Saccharomyces cerevisiae S288C: one gene and its partners. Changing the gene in region 4 together with the main gene of any one other region gives a genetic interaction. Each region holds a gene or a part of one and is shown on either strand. Other genes may lie near its edges. The genes, in order: YEL025C, SNA3, ICS2 and ZNF1.

Evidence for each region.
Region 1: mutations in ZNF1 (region 4) and YEL025C together harm fitness more than expected from each alone (negative genetic interaction), as found in Saccharomyces cerevisiae (one large-scale study listed by BioGRID).
Region 2: mutations in ZNF1 (region 4) and SNA3 together harm fitness more than expected from each alone (negative genetic interaction), as found in Saccharomyces cerevisiae (2 studies listed by BioGRID).
Region 3: mutations in ZNF1 (region 4) and ICS2 together harm fitness more than expected from each alone (negative genetic interaction), as found in Saccharomyces cerevisiae (one large-scale study listed by BioGRID).

What each region holds. Positions count from the first base shown.
Region 1 is NC_001137.3:101,820-109,941, reverse strand, and holds YEL025C (uncharacterized protein), read left to right. Parts: upstream 1-3,794; coding exon 3,795-7,361; downstream 7,362-8,122. Other genes in the region: YEL023C (uncharacterized protein), read left to right, coding at 1-1,438; ubiquinol--cytochrome-c reductase catalytic subunit RIP1, read right to left, coding at 2,035-2,682; RNA binding protein SNU13, read right to left, coding at 7,619-7,999.
Region 2 is NC_001142.9:135,158-139,770, reverse strand, and holds SNA3 (Sna3p), read left to right. Parts: upstream 1-2,997; coding exon 2,998-3,399; downstream 3,400-4,613. Other genes in the region: SCF ubiquitin ligase complex subunit DAS1, read right to left, coding at 401-2,392; inositol-3-phosphate synthase INO1, read left to right, coding at 3,838-4,613.
Region 3 is NC_001134.8:552,039-557,157, reverse strand, and holds ICS2 (Ics2p), read left to right. Parts: upstream 1-2,847; coding exon 2,848-3,615; downstream 3,616-5,119. Other genes in the region: AMN1 (Amn1p), read right to left, coding at 1-609; SLI15 (Sli15p), read left to right, coding at 3,958-5,119.
Region 4 is NC_001138.5:25,885-31,547, reverse strand, and holds ZNF1 (DNA-binding domain containing protein), read right to left. Parts: upstream 3,317-5,663; coding exon 1,919-3,316; downstream 1-1,918. Other genes in the region: YFL051C (uncharacterized protein), read left to right, coding at 1,008-1,490. UniProt on the Saccharomyces cerevisiae protein: Transcription factor that regulates respiratory growth and plays a critical role in stress adaptation during non-fermentative growth.

The DNA of each region.
Region 1 (8,122 bases), on a different chromosome or scaffold from region 4:
TTTTCAAGGCTTATTCGATTCTGTGAACTCAGTTGGAATATTAAGGGACAGGTTGTTTCCTTGCACCCAGAGAAGCAATATCGTTGAGCATGTTCGACATTGCGTATCCTTGGATGAAAGACGTGGAAAATTCAAGCAGTTATGTTTCACTCCGATGCCGTACATTCCGAAACTATTTTCATTGACATATTGTAATCATATAACTGACCAGTGTTCGCCGGTGCCAACTTCTAATGCATTAATGCGTGATCTAACCCCGGAAAATCCTTTGATAAAATACACTTTAAAAAGTGGCGCACATTCTATTAGTAATCCTTCTCCACTCATTCCTGATAACCCTGGAAGGTTGTTATCGAGCAAAAGCGAGGAAACTACAGAGTTGCTGTTGGACCTGAACTCATTCTTAGAAGGTAATTCATACGCGAGAGATACAGAATGTTCAACAAGAGGAATTGAAGCCATTTTCCAACTTCAATCTATCCAAGGCAGCGGTACATCAAGTAGAATGACTATGACACCCGACTTGATTGAAAAATGGTTTCCAGGTGATCATTCTGACGTTGGTGGAGGTTGGGCGCCTGACTGTGAGACAGAAGAGAACTTGTCAAATTTAACGCTGCGATGGATTTTAGCAGAGGCAATCAAATTTGGTGTTAAATTCAAACCTGGTGCAATACATGATTTCGCTACCAAACACACTTCGATTGGATCTTTATTCGCAGACACACATGATTACCTTAGTTTCAACTCACCAAAGAAATGTTCCCTACTAGGAGTGAGTGATAATGAGGATGGAGCCCGAGAGGATAAATCTGGCAGAAATGAGAGAATGGAAGATTGTCTAAAAAATATAAAAGAGACTAGATTGAGCTTGAAAGATGAAAAAGAAAAAGTGAAGGATGCTTTTACTCTTAAATGTGGACATGCAAATAAATTTATGAGATTGGTGTGGTGGGTATTGGAACTGCTCCCCATTGGAATACGAATGGAAAATAAAGAAGGAAAGTGGCAAAATTTTCATACACCTAACCTCGGAAGATCTCGTTATGTACCCGAATATGTCAGTTTACATTGGTCAGTCTATTGGAGAATTAAGTTTGATCGTAGGTATAGACCGGACAATATGCCGGAATATGTAAGGCAATTGTTCCAAGATTTGGAAGGTATTGATTTAAAAAGTAATAAAGTTTCAAATAAATATGATAAGCAAGATAATAGCAACGGGAGTGAAATCAATGGGGGCTTTTTTGATAATGAGGAAGGGCAGGAACTCCACATGGGTCAAAAAGCAAGTTATTTTGCAACGACATACAATTCAAGATTATTTGACAGTAAATACTCCCAATTAAAAAAGAAATTCATGGACTGGGATAGTAATTCCTGGACAGATATTCCAGATGATTTAAAAATATACCTACAGCAAGATGAATCGCTTTAGCATTAAAAAAACCCCTTCGGTACGTAATATAAAAAATTTTATAGGTAATATACATATATAAAAATACTTCAATCATTTTTACAATCTTGTATACTTTATACAACATGTGAAATCTTCTGCTTCTGGACATCAATATTCAAATACAGGCCAATCTTAGGTAAAACATTTGGAGAAAAGAAGGATAAGGCAGGACGAGGGAAGATAAATAGTTTCGTTAATTATAAATACATGCAGATAAATAAAGGAATATCAAATATTATGAATAGAAAAAGAAGATGGTGAGACAAAAAAGTAGTAATAAATAGGTCCAAATCTTCTTTATTTCCCCTTTCTTTTCTTATCCTTTTGTTTTCTCCATATTGTATAAGAATATATTCTTAGGAAAATCAACAGGGAATACAGTATAGTGATTTTCGTTCCTTTTTGAGCGTAATCCCTTCGAGACTGTGATGTTGATTATTTTTGTTGTGATTTCAAAATTCTTAGGTTAGTTGTATAGTTCCCGTTCATAACATAATGGATAGTAAATGAAAAATCAAAATAAGGGTGAAACAAATAGACAATAAAGATGTAGTTTTCGAGGACGAAAAACAAACCTAACCAACAATGACCTTATCACCATCGAATTCATAAGCAGGAATTTCTAAGTTTAAGGGGGCAGGTCCCTTTCTGATTCTACCGGAAATATCATAATGTGAACCATGGCAAGGACAGAACCAACCACCAAAATCACCGGCTTCACCAATTGGAACACAACCTAAGTGAGTACAAATACCCAGCATAATTAACCATTGAGGGTCTTTGACTCTGTCAGCATCGGTCTGTGGGTCCTTCAAAGCGGACATATCCACACTGTTGGCTTCCTGAATTTCATGAGGAGTTCTGTGTCTAATGAACACAGGCTTACCTTGCCATTTGACAACCACGTTTTTACCCAATGGGATAGCCGCTAAATTAACTTCAACTTTAGCCATAGCCAAAACATCGGCAGTAGCGGTCATAGATGAAATAAAGGTTTCTACGGTTGATTTGGCACCTGCAGATGACAAAAGACCCATAGCACCGACCATAAAGTAAGCATAAGAACGGCCTTTATCAGCATCGTTATTTTCCTTTAAAACGTCATCAAAATTTGGGGTCCTGTACGTGGATTTGCTAGCCAGCAAAGATTGAGAAATCAGTCTTTTGGAAGTTAAAGACATTGGCTTGAAGCAGGTCTTGACAGATGATCTTATTCCTAACATGTTTGTTATTGCTCCTTTCGGTTTCCTAATAAGTGTTAGAGTGATATTATTTATGTTCAATAATTTCTTGGTTTTTAAAAGACGTTGAACTTGAAAGCAACAAAAAGTTACGACAGAGAAGTAATATATTACTTGATATTCAAGAACCAACTATAGTTCTTGCAGGTCTTTTTCCAGTCCTTATAAGGGAGCCTCCGCGTCGCCGCACGTGACCCAAGACCGATAAATGGCGCAAAACGCTGATTGGTCCGTTATGGAGTGTCTAAAAGGAAAAAGATGCGCTATGGACGAACCTGAAAGAGGCCAAATGATAGGGAAGCTTAGAGTGAAAGGTGGAACAGGAGAAGTTGAAAGGATGAAATACACAAGATGACAAGAAGGCTCGAATTAAAGGCGGCTAGTTATTTCAATTTAGGAAGCATTTGCTCTAAGAGTCGATGGGTCGTACTTCATGCACATTATATTACGCATGAATAGCCGCCCAAGCTATATGAACTTATTGGTGGATTTTTGAAACCAATAAAAAGGATTTATGAGAAAGAATAATCTTCCTCTGGGGTATTCATAGCTATCAACGTATGGTTACCTTGTCTTAGTCGGACACTGGACATAACTCTTACAATGGCTGTTAGCTTCTCAATTGACAATGGTATTTAATATACCAGGCGGTTAAAGAAAGGGTAGGTATTTTTTTCTACCTAGTTCAGTTTATATGGATGAGACAGGGATAGACGGGCATGTACGGAGTTTTTCGACTTGATCAGTGCAATCCACTGATTATCGTTTTATGTAGGTATTTTCTTGAGTTACAAAATTTTAGGGAAAGTATGGATACAACCAGAGAGCCGATGTGGTGTTTTTTTTGGTTTTTAGTACATGCAGTACGCTTCTTTTTCTATTTCCTGTATACTTCCTTTAAGCGTATTCGTCGTTATAGGTTCTATTTGCTTTCAACTGAACGCGCTTGCCTGAACGCCTAAAGCGGAAAGAAATACATGACTGAAAAACAGACATTCTGGTCGCAACTCAGCGAAAGGGAGGGTAGAAAAATATATTGTGTTATAATGTCAGCGTTAGCGCATTGCATATTGCACTAGCCATTGCCACGTAAAATGGCAAGACAAGATGAAACGGACTGCAAAAAATTGGATAGCAATTCGGCCTTTTTACCTTTATGCATAACATCTTATAGATCAAAAGATGAGGCTGAGAAGCTGGTAAGTTGTCTTCATCACGAAGGAAGTTACTTTTTATGTTTTAGCTATGGATTGTATACCGGAACGTCCAACGAATTGAAAGCGAAGGTTGAGTTCGCTTTAGATGGACCGTTCGTTGTTAACTACGCAACTGTACCGATGTTCATGTCAGCTTCCTTCTGTCACCTGCTAATGTTTAACGACGGTTCCATTAAGGGATTCAAATGCGAAAATAACAAATTTGAAATTATCTACGACTCTAATGTGGCTCCGAAACTGGATACTATTTCTTTATTAACTTCCAGCTGGTTAAATGCTTCCTTTGAGGGTGTTTTATACACTTGCAATAAAAACATATCATATGATAGTGATTTGCATACGTTATGTACGACAATTTACTCCTTTGACTTCAGAGAAGGAATAGTCGAAAGATTTTATGCCACCGATGGCGAAGAAATTATCTCCTTTGATTTTATTAGCAGGGAGGATTTGCTTGACGACGCCACATGCACAGGTAAATCACACGTTTATTTTCTTTGCCTACTTAAGAGTTGCTATAGTGAAAACCTGTTTTTAAAGGAATACAATCTTGCTGGAAAGCATGGAAGTAGGAAATTTGATTTAAACGAGTACCGCCAATACAATCTTTTGCCGATATGTGATAATGAATTTTGTTATATGAAGGTAGTTTGCGGCCATACCATTGTAGTGTTGACTACTAACTACACTCAAATAATAAATATAAAAGCAAGTGGGCTTACAAACGGGGCTTTTTTCAATAATAAAGGTCTCCCAAATGTAGAAAACTACCAATTTCTAAAAGATTCTTATGATGTGATATATGAAAGATCAGTCATTCTCTTGACAATTTCTGACGTGTATGCTAACAAATACACTGCCAAGATACACACTAGGTCGTTACATAGAGACCACGTCCTGAAAGAACTACAATGGACAAAAGAAAGAGTGTTCAAGCCTCCTAAACATGATCTATGCGATGTTATTTTGCAGCTCCCACGTGAAAAGTATATAGCGGTGACAAGAATAAATGGAGTAAATTTTATATCGAAAGATCATCGAGGTTCAAAATTAGAAAAGGTGAAAAGCGGTCCCGCTTATACAAACAAAGTTTACCTGGCATCACAAGTTATTGGAAACAAGGGGACAGATATTGATTCACTGCTTTTGGGTGGAAGTTTTAACTCAAGAAGAGGATTTTTAGAAAAGAAAATTTTGGTATATGACAAAACCCTGTTCAAGTTAGTGACTTCCTCCAAAGCGCTAGTAGAGAATGTAACTGATTTTTGGGTTACAGATTTAGCACTTAATGGTGGTGACGAATTTGCATATGAATCAGGTGGGTTGATTTATAAGAACGGAATATTTTTAATGGATGAGCCTTATGATTACGGTCTATTTGTTTCTAGGACGGGAAAAGTTTTGAAAGCCGGTATGGATGGTTCTACCGGAGAATTTAGGCAGGTCGATTTCTTGCAGTCGAACCACAACTCTTCCACCATGTTTTGTTATCCCGTACAGAACTCCAAGCTCAGGATTTCGATACTTGAGGCAAAATCTGGTTTTCTACGTAAAAAAGAAGAATTTTTTATCCATGGGCTCAATTCTAAAGAGAGTATTGTGAGCTGTTTCTCAGATGGTGCCGAGAAATACCTTTTTGTCATTTACTTGGACGGTGTGTTTTCGGTATGGAATGCCAATCAAAAGAAAGTGGCTACATCACATCCAGACTATTCTTTCATAGCCTATGATCAATTGATAAAAATATCTTGGCTAAGCAAAAAGCATAAACACGACTCGATTTATGTCATCGCATCATCATACACTGGCTGCGTAAGAGTCTACAAATCAGAATCAAATTTTTTGAGAGTGGATTTAGAGATTCATTCGTTATACGATCAGAAATTAGAACTGTTGGATACGATTCCTTCCTTACCTTTGGTTTTCCTTTACAACGATAAGGAAATAATTTTGTTAAATCTTCAAAACATGTCTTATGGTTGCATACAGTTAGGCTTAGTTCCAAGACGAATGAGAATTCGACCCGGTAAAGCACTGTTCTCTCTTTGTGTTTTAGATTATGATTCTCGAATAAGCATCTTTGAGTTTGGTAGCACGTTTTACCGTGAAGGTTTCACTAAGCAGATGACTTCATTAAAACCTCAATTAGAAAATCATATCTTTTACCTCCCTAGCATTCCCGTAGAGCTCTATACTGTTCCAAATAACCTCAATCAGGCCGTGGTGTGTTTGGTCGATAGCAATAGTAGGCAGTATAAGTTGATGCTATTCAATTATGCTTCAATGAAGGCAGTTTCCACATTCAGTTTCTCGGATGAAAAGTATTTACATGCCGTTGTGAAGCCACTGTGGCCAGAACAAAACTCAATCTACTTATCACAGAGACCCTTTTATGGTAATAAGTTTGTTGTATGCTTAGGAGTTGGTGAAAAACGTACAAAATTCTGGCTGTTTGAAATTAGAAACAATAACATTACCCAATTGTACGCGAATTATCTCGAAGATTGTATATTCTCGGTGTTCATATACTATGAGTGCAACTTGGTTTTATTTTCTGGTGATAGTGGCATAGCAGCATATAAAATAAACATGCTAAAAGAGGGCGCGGAAATTTTAGAGGCCTATTCCTTCCCAGCACTTTCATCGATTAACCATATAGGTCTTCCAGCTTATATGAGTGGTGATTATCTGGTTCAATTTGAGATCTTGAGAGATTTTTTGAGAACCCGCTTTCCAATTAGGACGTCCATAGTATATCCATCAGAGTACCCTGAATGTCCCTACTTGGGTTTTAAGCGGTTGGGAAGCATTACACAAGTGGCGACTAAAATAATTCCTAAGAAGCTAAGAGAACCTAAAAACGATTGTTTAGCGAGTGATAAGAACTATCTATTAGGTCGATTATCAGACCTTTCTTGTGCAACGTTGAAATATTCCAATAGATCTTATGTTGCCACCATTGGTATTGATAATACCTTGACAATATACGAAGATTCTAAATTATCAGTTGATAAGGGCGGGTTGGCTATGCCATACCTCAAAATTCGGTTACCTAATAAGATAATCTCACTGGCGGCCATCCCAGATGGATTTCAAAACCTTCAAATATGTCCAAATTTCAATAGTCAAAGGTTGGAAGGCGTCATACCTCTATTTTTACTTTGCGGTACTGAGGGCCAAATTTATATAATATCGGAATTCATTGGTGAGCTGTGGATGAGAACGTTGCATGATTACAAAAAGATCAAGCTCGAATGTAAAAGAGCTTTTCGAAGGTCTGAGAAAAGCATGCGAAATGTTACTAAACAATATTCCGTGAGTAAAGAGACTGGAATAAATGAAAGCGGCTTTGATGAGCTAGCTAGAAATTCAAAGAGAAGACATATAGATCATTCACCATACAAGACCATAGATTTTTTCGATCCTGTAAAACTAAAAAGGTGACAATAAATCTCCTACGAACGAATAGGTGCCATGAGATCTTGCACCTTTTTGTTATGCCTAAATTACTACAGCTCAATTGATAATACATGTTTGTGCATTTACAGATGCACTCGAGTAGGTTATTCAATGAAGATATGACATATATCATACCACTAACAAAACAGCACTATTAGCGTCTGCACTAGTGGAAAGCAAAAAACTTTTTTATAGTATATAGATGGTACAAAAACTATGTTGATAGATATAATCCAATCTACTTAAATTAATAAAGTTTCAATCTTGTCCTTGACAGCGTAGATTTGGGTCTTGATAGCAGAAGCATCGTTGGTGGTAATAGAAGCAGCAATAACTGGTCTAGAAACACCACAAGCTCTACCTAAAGCAACTCTAGATGGAACAAAGACATATGGAACATTCTTGTCTTCACATAGTAATGGTAAATGCAATAGGATTTCAATAGGTTCACAGTCAGCAGCCATAATGATGAATTCGGAGATACCACGGTTCAAAGTTTTGGTAGCTTCGTTGGCACCTTTCTTCAATTGTCTCAAGTTAGCAGCCTGTTGAACGACATCCAAGATTTGTTGGGTTAATGCAGCATCGGCTAATGGGAAAGCCTTTGGGTTTGGGGCAGACATTTTTAATATAGTTTTTATAGTATGAAATCTGGTTTATTCAAGTTCCTTGCAATAATCAGTATGGTCCTGGTATAGAAAGCTCGCTCGAATGATGATTTAAATTAAGATTTGAAAGTAGGACTT
Region 2 (4,613 bases), on a different chromosome or scaffold from region 4:
GATCTGAGCCTTTATTTTTTCTCATGAGATTATCAAATGTGGGTAATTTGAGGAGACAGATAATATATATAATTTATGATCACGGTGATGAAAGACTGGTTCCTTAACATTCGCAGTTTCCACGGTAGGAGTACGCTTACGAACCCATCGTTAGTACTCTCGGTGACCGCTCTTCTTTAGAGACCTTCCTAGGATGTCTGAGTGATCGTATACTGTAGTATCTTGTGTTTACTTTATCAAACCAGCTTACCAACATTGGAATAGTTGGTTGATTTTTTTCTAGCATCCGAATGGATCTTGTATTTCCTTAATATGAAGTAGACCAGTAATCTGAATCCTGCTAGCTTAAAAAATGCGTTGAATATATATTATTAAATATATATATTTGAAGGGGAGTTGATTACATAACAGTGGCTATTCTTGCAATGGTATCAGAATTATTATTGTTGTTGTTGCTGTCGTTCTCCAGATTCTTGTTCGATTCCTTTGACCATCCATACAGATTACTCTTATAATCATAATGATAAAAGACGGGTTCAAAAATACGTTCATTATTCTCCTCCATAACTATTGTGGGAATGTCATTCAACATCAAGAATCTCAAATGAGGAAAACTTTTCAAAAAAGTAACGTAAATCGACTTGAAGTGATGGATAAGAGCGTGATAACACATAATAATATCTCTTTTGGTCAATGATTCATGAGGAAGTTCCAGGTCAGTGGAAATTGTAGCTGCTGTGTCATCACTACTTGGAGGAATGGCCGCATTAATTTCATCATCATCATCATCGTCATCGATTATTATCATTTCGGGCTCGCTCATATGAGCGGTTGATGTGGAAGTCACGGTGGAGTGTTGATGTGGGTTATTAACGATTTTGGGCACCAACTGGGATTTAGAATTTCTATATTCCAAAAGGTTGCGGTTCATCTTGGTCACAAAATTAGTCAAATTCATTGGTTGTGTTCTAACGCTCGGATAAGCATCACAAGCTTTAGAGTATGGTAACAAAGATAGGTATTTCATCATTTTAAAAATATCCTTTGCAGCAATGTCTTGAAGATCGTGAATATAGTAGTCTTCAGGGAACATGAATATTTTGCCCTTCAGAATGTCACTGAATACTATTTGACAGTTTGTGCAGTTGCATTGCTGATTTAGTTGGAACTTATTTTCTTGAATATTGATGATTTGTGGGATAAGACCGTCGTATCTCAGATCTATGAATTGCAATTTGGAGCAAGCTAAAAGAATGGAGAGAAATATGTGAGGATTTGTGGGTTCAGGTACATACTCCTCTAAGAAATCCATTTTTAGTCTTTTCAAATTGGTTAACGAACTAAAAAGATCTACGAGGATATGAACATCCTGCTTAATAGAAATCAAAGACAAATCTTCCAGGTTCTCAAATTCTTTAAAATCTTTCAGCATTTCTGTCTCGCGTTTTAACAAAGTGTCATTCCAAGAAATGATGGTAAGAATTTTCAATGTCCTCTTGTCAAAAACCTCCGATAGTTTAGTCAGAGGATTGCCGGGTCGTATCTTTTTAACAAAATAATCATTATTGTAAAACTCCCTCCTCCAATGCAATTTTAAATCGATGATTTGTAACTTGATATCTAAAGGGTAAAGATAATTGAACAGTTTTAAAGGGTCGATGAATAAAGTCATATGAGAAAGCCGAGAAGAGATACGCTGTGAAAGATATTTGGTGAGATTCGGAATGTAATTTTCGGGAACAACCATCTCAGGCAATGAATTTGGAGGAGCCATGTCGAAACTTGAGACGTTGCTCCTGGAAAAGTGACCATTGGAGATGATATCGTTACAAGCCGGGTCAGTGACGTTTTCTAGTCTTTGCAAGGACTTGCCCTGATTGCAAAGGATGCTGAGAATGGACCTTTGCAAGGTAGAGTCCAAATCCCAGTTGATCCTTATCCACTGGATGACTTCAGTAATGTGAATATTATTTTGCAGTGTTTCTATAAGTTTTTTCAATTTGCAGTTGGCGATATCGCGGGACTCCTCTTCTTTCAACGAAGACGGCAAGTTCAGTAGGGTCCAATTAATTGCGAGATGCATGAAGTCACTCTTCACTACATTTGAGTCGTTCAAATATATTCTTCTATAAAGCAGTTTGGTAGCGATCTTATTCAACCTTTTGTTCACAAGGCAAAGCTGCAAGCGGTCTGGTTGCGGCAAATGAGAGAATACTTCTTGCATGAGCTCATCGGGGAGCTTTGTTAGCGGGAACACGTAGTTTTTGCTCTTGGCGGCGAAATTTATGTTAATATCGTTAATATCTCGTAGCGCTGAAGCATCTGCGTTACTTTTATTGTTTCTGTTAATGAACGCTGCTTTTTTCTTCTGAAAATAATCTTGAAATGGCATGATATGAATATAAGCTGAGTTGTAAACACTGTGTATAGACGTCCTGGATATTTTGCACGGAAATCAGATCTCCATCGAAATCTACAATTCGCTTATAATCTATATATATTCCTCTTTGTGTGGGACGATAAAGTAGGGTAATACTTGCAATGAGAAAGAATACTCTGGTGAACAGGTGCATTTTGAGAGGGAAATAGGAACTAAGAAAAACAAGTAGAGGAAAAGGGGTGTAGTGCAGTGCAGTAAAGCGTTGCATTGATCGTATCTTGATAGATATACCGGTATATTACTGAACGTTTACATTCACCCTACAACATTTATAAATCTTATATATTATACATGCAAACTCGTATTTGTGAAGTGGGCATATAGTTTTTCGCTATGTATATAGCGGATGAGTGCGTTGGGATTACTATTTCTTTAATGCACGTGATGAAGGCTCGTTTTCTTTTTTTTTTTTTTTTTTTCTTTTTGGGAACGGGGGAAAAGGTCTCACTAGTATATAAAGGAAAGAGAGTACAGCACGAATGAGCCAGCTGCAGGAAAGGGGCTAGGTTAAAAAATAAAAACCCAGCAGAAAGCAAACAACCAAATATAATTTAGAAATGGACAGAGACCATATTAATGACCATGACCATCGAATGAGCTATTCCATCAACAAGGACGACTTGTTGTTAATGGTTTTGGCGGTTTTCATTCCCCCAGTGGCCGTCTGGAAGCGTAAGGGTATGTTCAACAGGGATACACTATTGAACTTACTTCTCTTCCTACTGTTATTCTTCCCAGCAATCATTCACGCTTGCTACGTTGTATATGAAACGAGTAGTGAACGTTCGTACGATCTTTCACGCAGACATGCGACTGCGCCCGCCGTAGACCGTGACCTGGAAGCTCACCCTGCAGAGGAATCTCAAGCACAGCCTCCAGCATATGATGAAGACGATGAGGCCGGTGCCGATGTGCCCTTGATGGACAACAAACAACAGCTCTCTTCCGGCCGTACTTAGTGATCGGAACGAGCTCTTTATCACCGTAGTTCTAAATAACACATAGAGTAAATTATTGCCTTTTTCTTCGTTCCTTTTGTTCTTCACGTCCTTTTTATGAAATACGTGCCGGTGTTCCGGGGTTGGATGCGGAATCGAAAGTGTTGAATGTGAAATATGCGGAGGCCAAGTATGCGCTTCGGCGGCTAAATGCGGCATGTGAAAAGTATTGTCTATTTTATCTTCATCCTTCTTTCCCAGAATATTGAACTTATTTAATTCACATGGAGCAGAGAAAGCGCACCTCTGCGTTGGCGGCAATGTTAATTTGAGACGTATATAAATTGGAGCTTTCGTCACCTTTTTTTGGCTTGTTCTGTTGTCGGGTTCCTAATGTTAGTTTTATCCTTGATTTATTCTGTTTCATTCCCTTTTTTTTCCAGTGAAAAAGAAGTAACAATGACAGAAGATAATATTGCTCCAATCACCTCCGTTAAAGTAGTTACCGACAAGTGCACGTACAAGGACAACGAGCTGCTCACCAAGTACAGCTACGAAAATGCTGTAGTTACGAAGACAGCTAGTGGCCGCTTCGATGTAACGCCCACTGTTCAAGACTACGTGTTCAAACTTGACTTGAAAAAGCCGGAAAAACTAGGAATTATGCTCATTGGGTTAGGTGGCAACAATGGCTCCACTTTAGTGGCCTCGGTATTGGCGAATAAGCACAATGTGGAGTTTCAAACTAAGGAAGGCGTTAAGCAACCAAACTACTTCGGCTCCATGACTCAATGTTCTACCTTGAAACTGGGTATCGATGCGGAGGGGAATGACGTTTATGCTCCTTTTAACTCTCTGTTGCCCATGGTTAGCCCAAACGACTTTGTCGTCTCTGGTTGGGACATCAATAACGCAGATCTATACGAAGCTATGCAGAGAAGTCAAGTTCTCGAATATGATCTGCAACAACGCTTGAAGGCGAAGATGTCCTTGGTGAAGCCTCTTCCTTCCATTTACTACCCTGATTTCATTGCAGCTAATCAAGATGAGAGAGCCAATAACTGCATCAATTTGGATGAAAAAGGCAACGTAACCACGAGGGGTAAGTGGACCCATCTGCAACGCATCAGACGCGATATCCAGAATTTCAAAGAAGAAAACGCCCTTGATAAAGTAATCGTTCTTTGGACTGCAAATACTGAGAGGTACGTAGAAGTATCTCCTGGTGTTAATGA
Region 3 (5,119 bases), on a different chromosome or scaffold from region 4:
CTCATAAGATTGTGGATTTCTTCTTAAGCATGGTCTTTCCTTTGGTATATTTGCAGATTCTAGAGAAACTATCATTTTTATGATATTTTCCACAATCTCAGGAATTTCAAAGACCGCATGACTTCGCTGATGTTGAGCAGTCAAAGGTTGCCCTAACTTCAATTCAGAGAATTCATCAACAAGAATGTTTTTAATTTCCGTTGGTGTCACTATAGAAAGACTGGATGCAGAAACAACTCGAGAGGTTGCCCATGCATTTTCTGTAGCCGTATTTTTTAATGGTGTGGCCTCTGGAGTTGAAAGATACTCATTGCAGCTTTTCTTATTAGGCGTAGTTTGCACACTACTTTGAAGAAAACTTTGATCTGTTTTTAAAGACAAATCTGGTCTTACTAACTCCACTTTGCTTGAGCCGGGATTGTAACTACTTTGATGAAGATGACCTCCATACTTCCTTACAATATCTTTGAAAGGCTTCTCCATTTTAAGAGATGTGAAAGATGGACTAGGTGACATTTTTTTCAGCGGTCTAGTACACGGAGATTCAAGTGACTGGATATCTCTACCTCTTTTGAAGGAGCCATTGCTGCTTACGCGTTCTAGTTTCATTTAATGGGTACTTTACTAACAGAAAAGGAAAATGATAAATTATCAAACGAAGGGAATTATTAGTTCTAAGTGAAAGGAATGGATGGATATTAAACCAAAAAGGGATATTAAACCAAATTCAAAGAATAAAAGGAAAAGACAGGTATAAGTTCTAGAAGAAATAAACAGAGAAAAAAATGATATGATAAATAAGTTATTTTTGTACAGTTAACACATATAGTTTTAAAACTTTTTGAACGTTTTTGTTAGTTCCCTTGGGCCTTAATTCCGTACTTTAAAGTGTGAAGAGTATAGTCTATAGGACCCTTATAAAGAAGGGTTGCTATATATATATATATCCACAACTATACTCCCTTTCTTTCGTATATCTGAAGGTATCCTACTACTTGAAACAAACTTGAAGAATGGTTACTGAACAAAGGACAAGCATAAACACTCCAAGGCAAGGCGATACAAAAAACACCAGCAGGAATAAGATGATTGATGAGACATCCTAAGTCCAATAGAAGAAACAAGCGAGAAATAGCGGAACCAGGAAACCGAAGTTGAAGGAAATTCTTTCTTTCAATTAAGCTTTTTGTTACCATTTAGGAAACTTCCACGGTGTCATAATTGTGTTTTGTTTGTTTACTTCTGCAAGTTAATGAAAATCCTGGCGGACGACAGCCAGTAATGGCCGGAGAGTGCTTTATTTTGCCCAGCAAAAAAATTTTGCGAGTGTAACAAAGAGCGCGAGAGCAGACTACCACTAAGAAAAGCTTCGGGCAATGCGCAGCAAAAAATAGAAAAAAATGAGCAAAAAAGAGAAACATATTTTAACATGGTCTCCGTGCCTTCGGCGTACCCAGACAATTACGGTTAACACCCACAACGTCAAACAAGATAATATGTTCCACGCTTCGGACTAGAAAGTGACATATCACATGTATGGTAGTATCGTAGGTATAACATCCTTCCGCCATCAAACCCTTGTGGCCTATGAGTGCCTATGCAGGTAATTGCTCCAATAAAGATTAAGCAATTTTTTATCCCATAATTAATTGTCGCCAACCCAACCGAACCAATCCTTTACAATTTTTCACCTTACGCCATAACAAAAATGAGACAACCCCGCCACCTACTACTGATGCAATTATTAACACGTTTTCATCCGTTTATATTTCTCTCCGGCCGTTCAGCACCGGCTTGACCAGCCGGTGCTGAGGACAAGAAAAACACAGCGAAAAAAGGTGGGAGAACGAAGCTTCCGCAATTCTCACACACCAAAAAATGAGTTACCGGCCGTCTCTTCTTTTGCCCCTCGCATATAATGGGATTGCGAACGGAGAACGACAGCAATATAACAAGCGTACGTGATCCCTTTCATTCTGTTATATTCGAGAATAGTTGTTGACAGTGGAGATAACTCCGAAAATATCATGAAAAAGAGGGTTATTTCCGTTCGTCGGGACATTGCTGTAGAGCTCTTCAATGGCCACAACTTGGGAGCGTTAATATGCAATCAAGTTGTAGGGAAGATTATATCTCTCCAGGGATTATTACCTGGGACACAGAGCTCTTTTCCTTATCTCATCTCACGCATCTAGACCCTGCTAGCCGTCGTTTCTTATTTGAAGCGTTAATCACCCTCACTTTTCGTCCGTAGCACGTAAAAAAGAAAAATAGGGTACCGTTTACCTGTCGTTAATATGCAAGTCATTAACAATCCAGCCCAGTACTTTATTTGCTATGGCACGGCATAGGCGCAGGGAGTTCACGATTTGGTCATCAATGATTATCACGATATGGGGGTCCTTATGATCTTGATGTTCTTTCAACTGCTCTTTGTTTCTTTTTTTTTTGTACGACAGTTTATGTGTTAAAGAACACATCCACTCCAATTTTGGGTCGTTTATACTTTTGTTTCGCTAATCTTAAGCCAACCTTGAGTTTATACCTAATTATATGCCACGTTAATGCACAAAACCCCTCGTAATAAACTTTCCTTGGAAGACTTTCTTTTTCTATTCGACGCATTTGGTTACATATCTGTTGGGAAAGAGCCCTTCGACTGCAAGTCCGGCATCAAGAAAGCTTGACATCCAAAGAAGCATTTAAGTATAAATAAATGAGACCCATTCTATCTTCTCAAATAAATCTTTTACAAATATGTGAACGTCAAAGCGCATACTTAATAAAAATTTATACTCTACACCACCTTCGTTATTACTTCACTGAAGTTTCCCTTTCCAGCAAGATATGGGCAAATTTGAGCAAAAAGAAAGAGAAAGAATAAGCACATTTAGTTTTCCTACTACGGGCAGTCAATCTAGTACATCCATTAAATCACTTGGCAGCCCACTCTATGGACGTTTCAGCTCTCTCTCTTCAACAGAATCTCAGTTCGATAGCAGCAAACAACCCCATGAGTACGAAAAGAGCTTTTATTTTGAAGAGTCTCAAGGCGAAGCTCTGTTCAACAAGCTGAAGACCTACTCTTTCCCTGGAGACAAGGATGGTGTGAAAACGAGGAGAAATTCCTCCATATGTCCAAGAAAGCCTAATGCGGTATCACCTTTAAGGGTAGAAAGTAATGAATTATCATCACATTCGCATTCACGTTCATTATCACACGAACTTACAAAGCCTTCAGGGCGAAGGAAAAGTTACCACAGAAAAAGTCATGCAATCTCATTCAGCAGGTCTTGTAAGCCAAATTTCATTGACGGGTACGATTCTAATTCAAGCATAGGCGTCAATTCAAGAAAAACTTCATTGGCAAGTTCTTTCTTGGACAAAGAATATCATTCTTCACCGGATACTTCATATACCCACCAAATGTCCCCGAAAAACACAATCATGAATACCAATGAACAATTAAGAAGAAACGCAAGCGGTAGATTCGGGAGTTTGAAAGAATTCGCTGAAAAAAATCAGATAAATATTGAGGGCAAAATTTTTGCTCATAAAGTGGAAACTGGAGACATATTGCAACCACTAATTGACTTAGATATTGACAATAAATGACTGGATCATTTGTCTCGCATTTTTTTTTTTCGTTTGTTTTGATAAATAAAGGACTTAATGTTAGTTTTGATAATGTTAAATGAATATATAAAAATAAACCATGTAAAGAGTATTTTGTTACGCTGTTTCGTTATAGCGTTATGTCAGTGTTATTATTTCTTATACGCGGAAAAGCCTGATCCATTCTGTTCTGAAACCGATCTTCATATTTTAAATTTCGCGAATTAACTAAAAAAAGAAAACAAACAAAAACTCGTTTCAAGTATTGCCAATGATACAAACAAAACGTTTCAAAGTATCTCCTCAACTGACGGACTTTGAAAGAGCCCGAAGATTTAAACAATGGACTGGGCAATCAAAGCAGCTAGGAAGAAAACTCAAAGGAAGCCAGGCTCTACCCGTTCAATCATAGAAACCCTCGATGATCTAAATAATCTAACAACAGATGCACATTCAGAAATAAATCAACGATTGTACGAAAGTAGTGAATGGTTAAGAAATAATGTTTATATGAATACACTCAAGTATGAAGACAAAAAGATGGAAGAGTCTTTAATTAGCCCCGAAAATACGCATAACAAAATGGATGTCGAATTTCCTAAAATGAAAGGAGAATATGAACTTTCTAACTCCCAGAATGATGCCGCAAAAGACGTTACTAAGACACCCAGAAATGGATTACATAACGATAAAAGTATCACGCCTAAATCACTCCGCAGGAAGGAAGTCACCGAAGGAATGAATAGATTTAGTATACATGATACCAATAAAAGCCCGGTTGAGCCATTGAATAGCGTTAAAGTCGACGCCAATGAAAGCGAAAAATCCTCACCATGGTCACCTTACAAAGTTGAAAAGGTTCTAAGAGAATCCTCCAAGACTTCGGAGTCTCCGATTAATACAAAACGCTTCGATAATCAAACATGGGCGGCTAAGGAAGAAATGGAGAATGAACCTATACTTCAAGCTTTAAAGAAAGCTGAATCAGTAAAGGTGAAACCACCACCGAATTCTGGGATAGCGAGATCTCAAAGAAGGTCGAATATGTTTGTTCCACTGCCGAATAAAGATCCTCTTATTATTCAACACATTCCACCAACAAAATCTTCAGGATCAATACCAAAAGTACGAACAGTAAAGGAATCACCAATCGCATTTAAAAAAAAATCTACGATAAATAGTCCTGCTATAAGAGCTGTGGAAAACAGTGATACCGCGGGATCTACAAAAGCATCCAGTGTTTTCGATAGGCTATCATCTATTCCAACAAAATCATTTGAAAACAAAATTTCCCGTGGAAACGTTGGTCACAAATACTCCTCTTCATCAATCGATTTAACAGGCTCCCCCATGAAAAAAGTTTCTCAAAAGTTTAAGTCAATAAACTCCACGGATACTGATATGCAAGAAGCGTTAAGAGATATATTCTCAGTAAAAAATAAAATAACCAAAAATAATTCACCCAAAGGAAAAAACTCTCGAAAATCCTCTATTCCGAGGTTTG
Region 4 (5,663 bases):
GAACAAAAAAAAAAATGCATTACATCACGTTCCTTGCTCTGTATCTCTTCACCTGCAATTACTCAAAAGAAAAAAAGAAATATAATTTTCCTTTGAGCACCCTTGGTAACTTATCTAAGAACACGCGATGTAATCGAAATTTAATAACCTAAAAAAGAAATAGAGATCGGTGACGTTTGACGCTAGCCAATCTCCACGAGATTTATCTGGAAGGGCATCACCCGTCAAAACACTAAGAAATTTGACACCTTATTTTTTTTTCTCCGAAACGTTCTGAGACGTTTCTTTTTTTTTCAGGACGCCACCCTAAATCCGAAAAACCTTACTTGGCATTAGTGTTGTAAAAATTTCTTTTTTCCATCGTGGTTCTGAAAAGCTTGCAGAAAAAAAGTTCGAGAACGTTTTCGTATGACTTATTAAGCTGCCCTTGAACTTGCCTTCCCTCTTCTTTACTATTTTCAGCCAGGGACAGAAATAAAGCAAAATCGTTTAACTTTTATGACCGTAACAGGTAACAATATCTGCTCAATTCGGTTAGTAAAAAAAAAAAGGTTATCGTAGGTTTACTATTTTCACATCGGTGCATAGAATCTATACTCTACTTCCTTTGGAGGGAATTTAGTAGTGCTCGATTAGCAGATAACAGCGCAGGGTTCTATGTAGTACGAAGCACTATCAGGTTTTTTAACGTACGTGAGTTGTTTTTTGTTTCTAATTTTTGGCTTGCCTGGGATAAACGGTGCCCATCAAATTATTAAGACCTGGTGAAAAGAGCGTACCTACATGGGTATCGGGGTTTTTGCCAGAAAGAGCTTTAACTGCAATTGATGCCTACCGGAGATTATTTTGATATCAAAATGCAGGAACGATATCTACTTCCCTAAAGCAGAAAACAAAACATTTTTTTAAAAGTCTTTCTTATATAAAGGTAACCTTCATTTCATGATAGCCAGATGATAATCTTAATGTAACAATTGGAGGATACCAGCATCCCTCCACACCTTCAAATGTCTATACCCCATTCCGTATTTTCGGCACTCTTGGTCTTCGTGGCGCTAGCTACTACAACCTTAGCCAGTACAGAAGCTTGCTTACCAACAAACAAAAGGGAAGATGGTATGAATATTAATTTTTATGAGTACACAATAGGCGACCAAACCACATACTTGGAGCCTGAATATATGGGCTATGAATACTCCAATACAAAGAAGTTAGGTTCCGTTAGCGGACAGACCAATCTCTCCATATACTATAGTCCGCCTTGTGAGAGCACTCCTACCTGTGTGACTTATGCAGTTTTGAAGCGTGATGAGGATGGATATGATCCTTGCGGACCTCTTTATGAAACTAAAAAACGTGACACTGAATACTGTGACCCAAATACTGCCTATTGGAGTTCTGATCTTTTTGGTTTCTATACTACTCCAACTAATGTAACTGTGGAAATGACAGGGTACTTAATATGGAGTATGGGCAACCGACGCCGTTGAACCTCTCCTTGGAGATTCTGATAATTTTATGACCATGACTTCTCGTGCACCTTACAGGAAACTTTAATGGCCTGATAAGTACAGCTATATTGTGATCACAATTATTAAAAACTAACTCATTTCATCTATAACCAAGTACAAATCGCACGACTATCATGACGATAAAAGCGTATATCCTTGATTTAATTCACATCACAATCACCCCCCTTGAAAAAAAAATAAATTTTTTTTCTTGCTATAATAGCATAATTGTCCACAAGTTCACTATTAGTGCTATCATTCTTCCCCACTGCCGCAAAATTGCAAAGGAAATAATTGTTTGCCCTGCAGGAACCATATACTAAAGAAGAAATAGATGCTATTAGCCTCTTCAACTGTCCGTAATCACTACATCTTGAAAGGTAAAATGCAAGTAGCAATGTGTTTACTTAAGGAAGCGCATCTACATCTTCTTTAGAACCATCTGTCGATTCAAGCGGATTAGAAAGAGGAAGCGTGATAAGCGCACACTGACACTTTGTCGTAAACTTATCAACTAATGTGCTATCACAATGCTTAAGAGAGAAGACAAATTTGGATATATCGAACAAAAAATTCCAAGCCTCCGACTCTGCATTTTGATCGTACTGATTCACAACATCTACCAATGCGTCGGCTATTTCTAGTGCTTTCACTGATATCCCTGGACCGTGAACTGCATAAAGATTTTTTGGGATTAAAAATGTGTCTTCTAACATGTCTCTAGCAATTTCTACTGGAATATGCGTATTCTTGCTATTTGAAAGGAAACTGATTCGCATACCGCTTATTTGAAGCACTAGCTTCCAAGCAAGTGTTCTAATCCAATGCCGTGAAAAAGATATGTCTACATAGCCGTAAGACCATGGTTCTATCTCAAGTGGCACCGTATGAAGTTCCCTCCATATCTTTTTAAGGGAGTCTTCAGTACAGGTTACATTAGCAGAGTCGGTAGCTAGAGCATCAAAGAAGCATTTTCCCGGTACAGTAAATACCCTAATCATCTCCAAGAAGCTGTCGAGAGATAGTCGGGGGTCCGTTACGTTCTCCGGTTGTGGTGGAGCAATCGTGGTATCCAGGCTCGTGGCGCAATGCGTATACACAGAAAAGTATCTTTCCGTTAAGAGAAGCAAATAATAAACTTTCCTTCCAAGCTGCTGCTCATCGAAAGGAAGAAGTTTCAAAGTTTCCTCGCGATGGAACCCCGCCAACTTAATGAGCCCCACGGCTTCACAAGAAAGCCGATACGAAGTTCTTGAGTTGGACATCTGTGCGTAGCAGCGGTTTAGACAATAGTACGTCATAATCTTGAATATATCACTACCGTTAAAATCGTCAAATTCTTGGCGTGATGACATGCAGAAACTGGATAACTGTATCCCAGTAAAGGTAACCCCTCCTTCCGACTCAATTTCAGTCTGCAAATCGCTAAGCGTGGCGGCAGAAAGAGATACCAGGAACCAATACACACAGGTTTCGTCATATCTTTTCTCTAAAAGTTCGTAAAGATCATCATAACACAGCAAAGGCCAGATCACATACAACTTATCATTATAGAGCCGCAGACACTGATCAATTAGTGCCTTTGGAACCTTCATTATGCCACCACTACTACTTTTACTAAATACCTGTACATCATCTACTTTCTTTAAATTTCTCACCTTGACGGGTTTTGGACCTCTTTTCTTCAAAGGTCGAAGATATGTACATTGCAGATTGTGTTGAAGACAACATTTACATGGTTTTTTACGATCACACTTTACTCGACGAATGCAACAACAGTCGCACGCTTGTCTATTGCGGGCCATCTTCGAACTAGAGCTCTTTTACTTTAGCTCTTTTGACAAGACAATGAAGCATTTCTTGAAGGTTTTCTTCTTTTCTCCGTATTTAAGTCAACAAGATATAGCTAATTTATTAAGCCGGGGGTGGGGAAAAACGCGGTAGTAACGTGGGGTACTTTAAAGTGGGGGAGATGGCACAGACAAAGCCGCAGGTACCTCGAGAACTCAGGGGAAAAAGGAACGCAGTTCAATAAGCTACCGATTTGGCAGATCTCAGGAGTAAAAATATAAATCTTAGTGCACATACAAGTGATAACTGCAACTCCAGATTTTTCTTTCGGTCGATTCGTTGATGCAACAATGTCGAAATTATAGTTAGGCGTTTGTTCCTGTAATTTAACTTCAAGTGGAGGAGTCAATGTTCTTTCCTATGTTCTATTTGTGGGATAGAAAAGTTAAAAAGAAGGTTTTTGAGTATCCCAGTGATAGTGCAGTACTACTTCTGTGTATTCCCGATTATTACAACGGCGGAGTTTTTTTCGCATAAACTCAGACTACTAAGTAACTCTCGAGCATCGTGAAGATCCTGATACTTTATCTATGCATTACGTACGGAACGGAGTGAGGCCTTTCTCCAGAAAAATCGTTGAGATGGCATGTAGGTTCTAGATTTGTGACGACACTCAACAAGAAAAGTTTGAGGTGAATATCTTACCCGCGACATCTGGAGCGAGAAGAAAGCCGTAATCGATAACGTATTCTCTCAATGCTGTGGCGTTTCAGTAGTATTTTGTTATTACCGACGAAAACGGTTCCTCAAGAAATAAAATATATCTAGAGGTAAGTTGCAAAACGCTAGACTATTTATGGCAAGATTAGTATTTGCTGTCGTGATATCATAAGTAGAGACACATGTTCAGCTTCTCACTTGAATTTAGGTTAGAACAAAATCTTTAAACAGCAGTTACAATGAATGTTTGGGAGACCTAGTCAGTCTCCATACTGCCAAGAAAAAGGTTAGTCGAACTGGAAAAACAAGGCTGTACTGCACCCTAATGTTTCTTAGTAAGCAATTCGCTATCGACGCCGAATACCATGAACATCAACCTTGTGAAAGCTTTCGCATATTGGCGCTCAAGAGATATAGACGGTACTAGTGAAAGAGAGACAAGGCCGCCGGATTACTTGCTCTCGTCATTGTAATTGTTCAATTTCACAGACATTTCTCTGGCATGTATCCATTGGGGCACCACAATAAGGGAATATTTTACAATATCGTAAGCTGTTCGTAATACGCGGCTTCTCTTTACTCAAAGCCCAATGAATCCTGGCTTCGAAAATCATACAAACTGTGAAATCTACTTATTTGAAATGACAAACACTGCTTCCCAGTCTGGAGGCTCTCTTTGAGGATAACTAACATGTATGGCTAAAAATAGTTAAAATAATTGAGACGACATTGCACTTGCTATAATCAGACTTCAATAACATATGCATACAAGAAACTTCTCTTTTGAAATAGGAGCGGGGCTCCATCACAAAGAGATTGAAATTTGATACTAGCTCTAAAATCGAGGCAGGGATGTTCCAATGATCGAGTTTGTCATGAAATATAAGGATGTTCACGTCAAGCTCGAGAAATGTTTCAAAATACCGCGAAATAACTCAAAAAGCTGGGTCACGAAGAAATGATTCTAGAAACAGGCGCTTATGCTCTTATATAATGAGATGTCTACATCGTCAGAACTAAGTGCGAAGAATACGGCCTACATTAGAGATTCTTCAAGGTAGTGAAACGTATTCGTGGCAGTGGTTATGGAACTGCCTTACGGTTGATTCAAAAGACTCATTGCATACTCAATTTAAAACGGCTCAAATCATTTGAAAAAATAATAGGCAATATAAAATAGAGAAATCACAGCACCTTGACGGACTGATATTACGAATAACGAGTATCATTGCCAAAGTTTGGCGTATGGGCGACGTGCGTCCATGCAAATCTACAGTAGATATTTTCAAAAGAGATCATTGTCAAAAAGATAACTAACTACTCATGCTTTGAGGGCATGCAAAGTTTCCAGAAAAAAAAAGATGAACCACACTTAAGCTGAAGCAAATTATAAGTGTTGAAATGACTAGGCGCAGTTAATACGCAACTCAATCAGTCAACACAGGCTGGTTACTTTCTAAGTTACAGCATAAGTTTAGAGTAATTATTGAAATCTGTTGATATAGGTTGATTTCTTAGATGCATGAAATGCAGCAAGATCTTCATATGATTTCAGAGATTAGTCAAAAAGTTGTTAACAGTCATGCATAATATCACTAATTGGTAGAACAAGAATCAACTACTTTATTTGTCAATATTTTC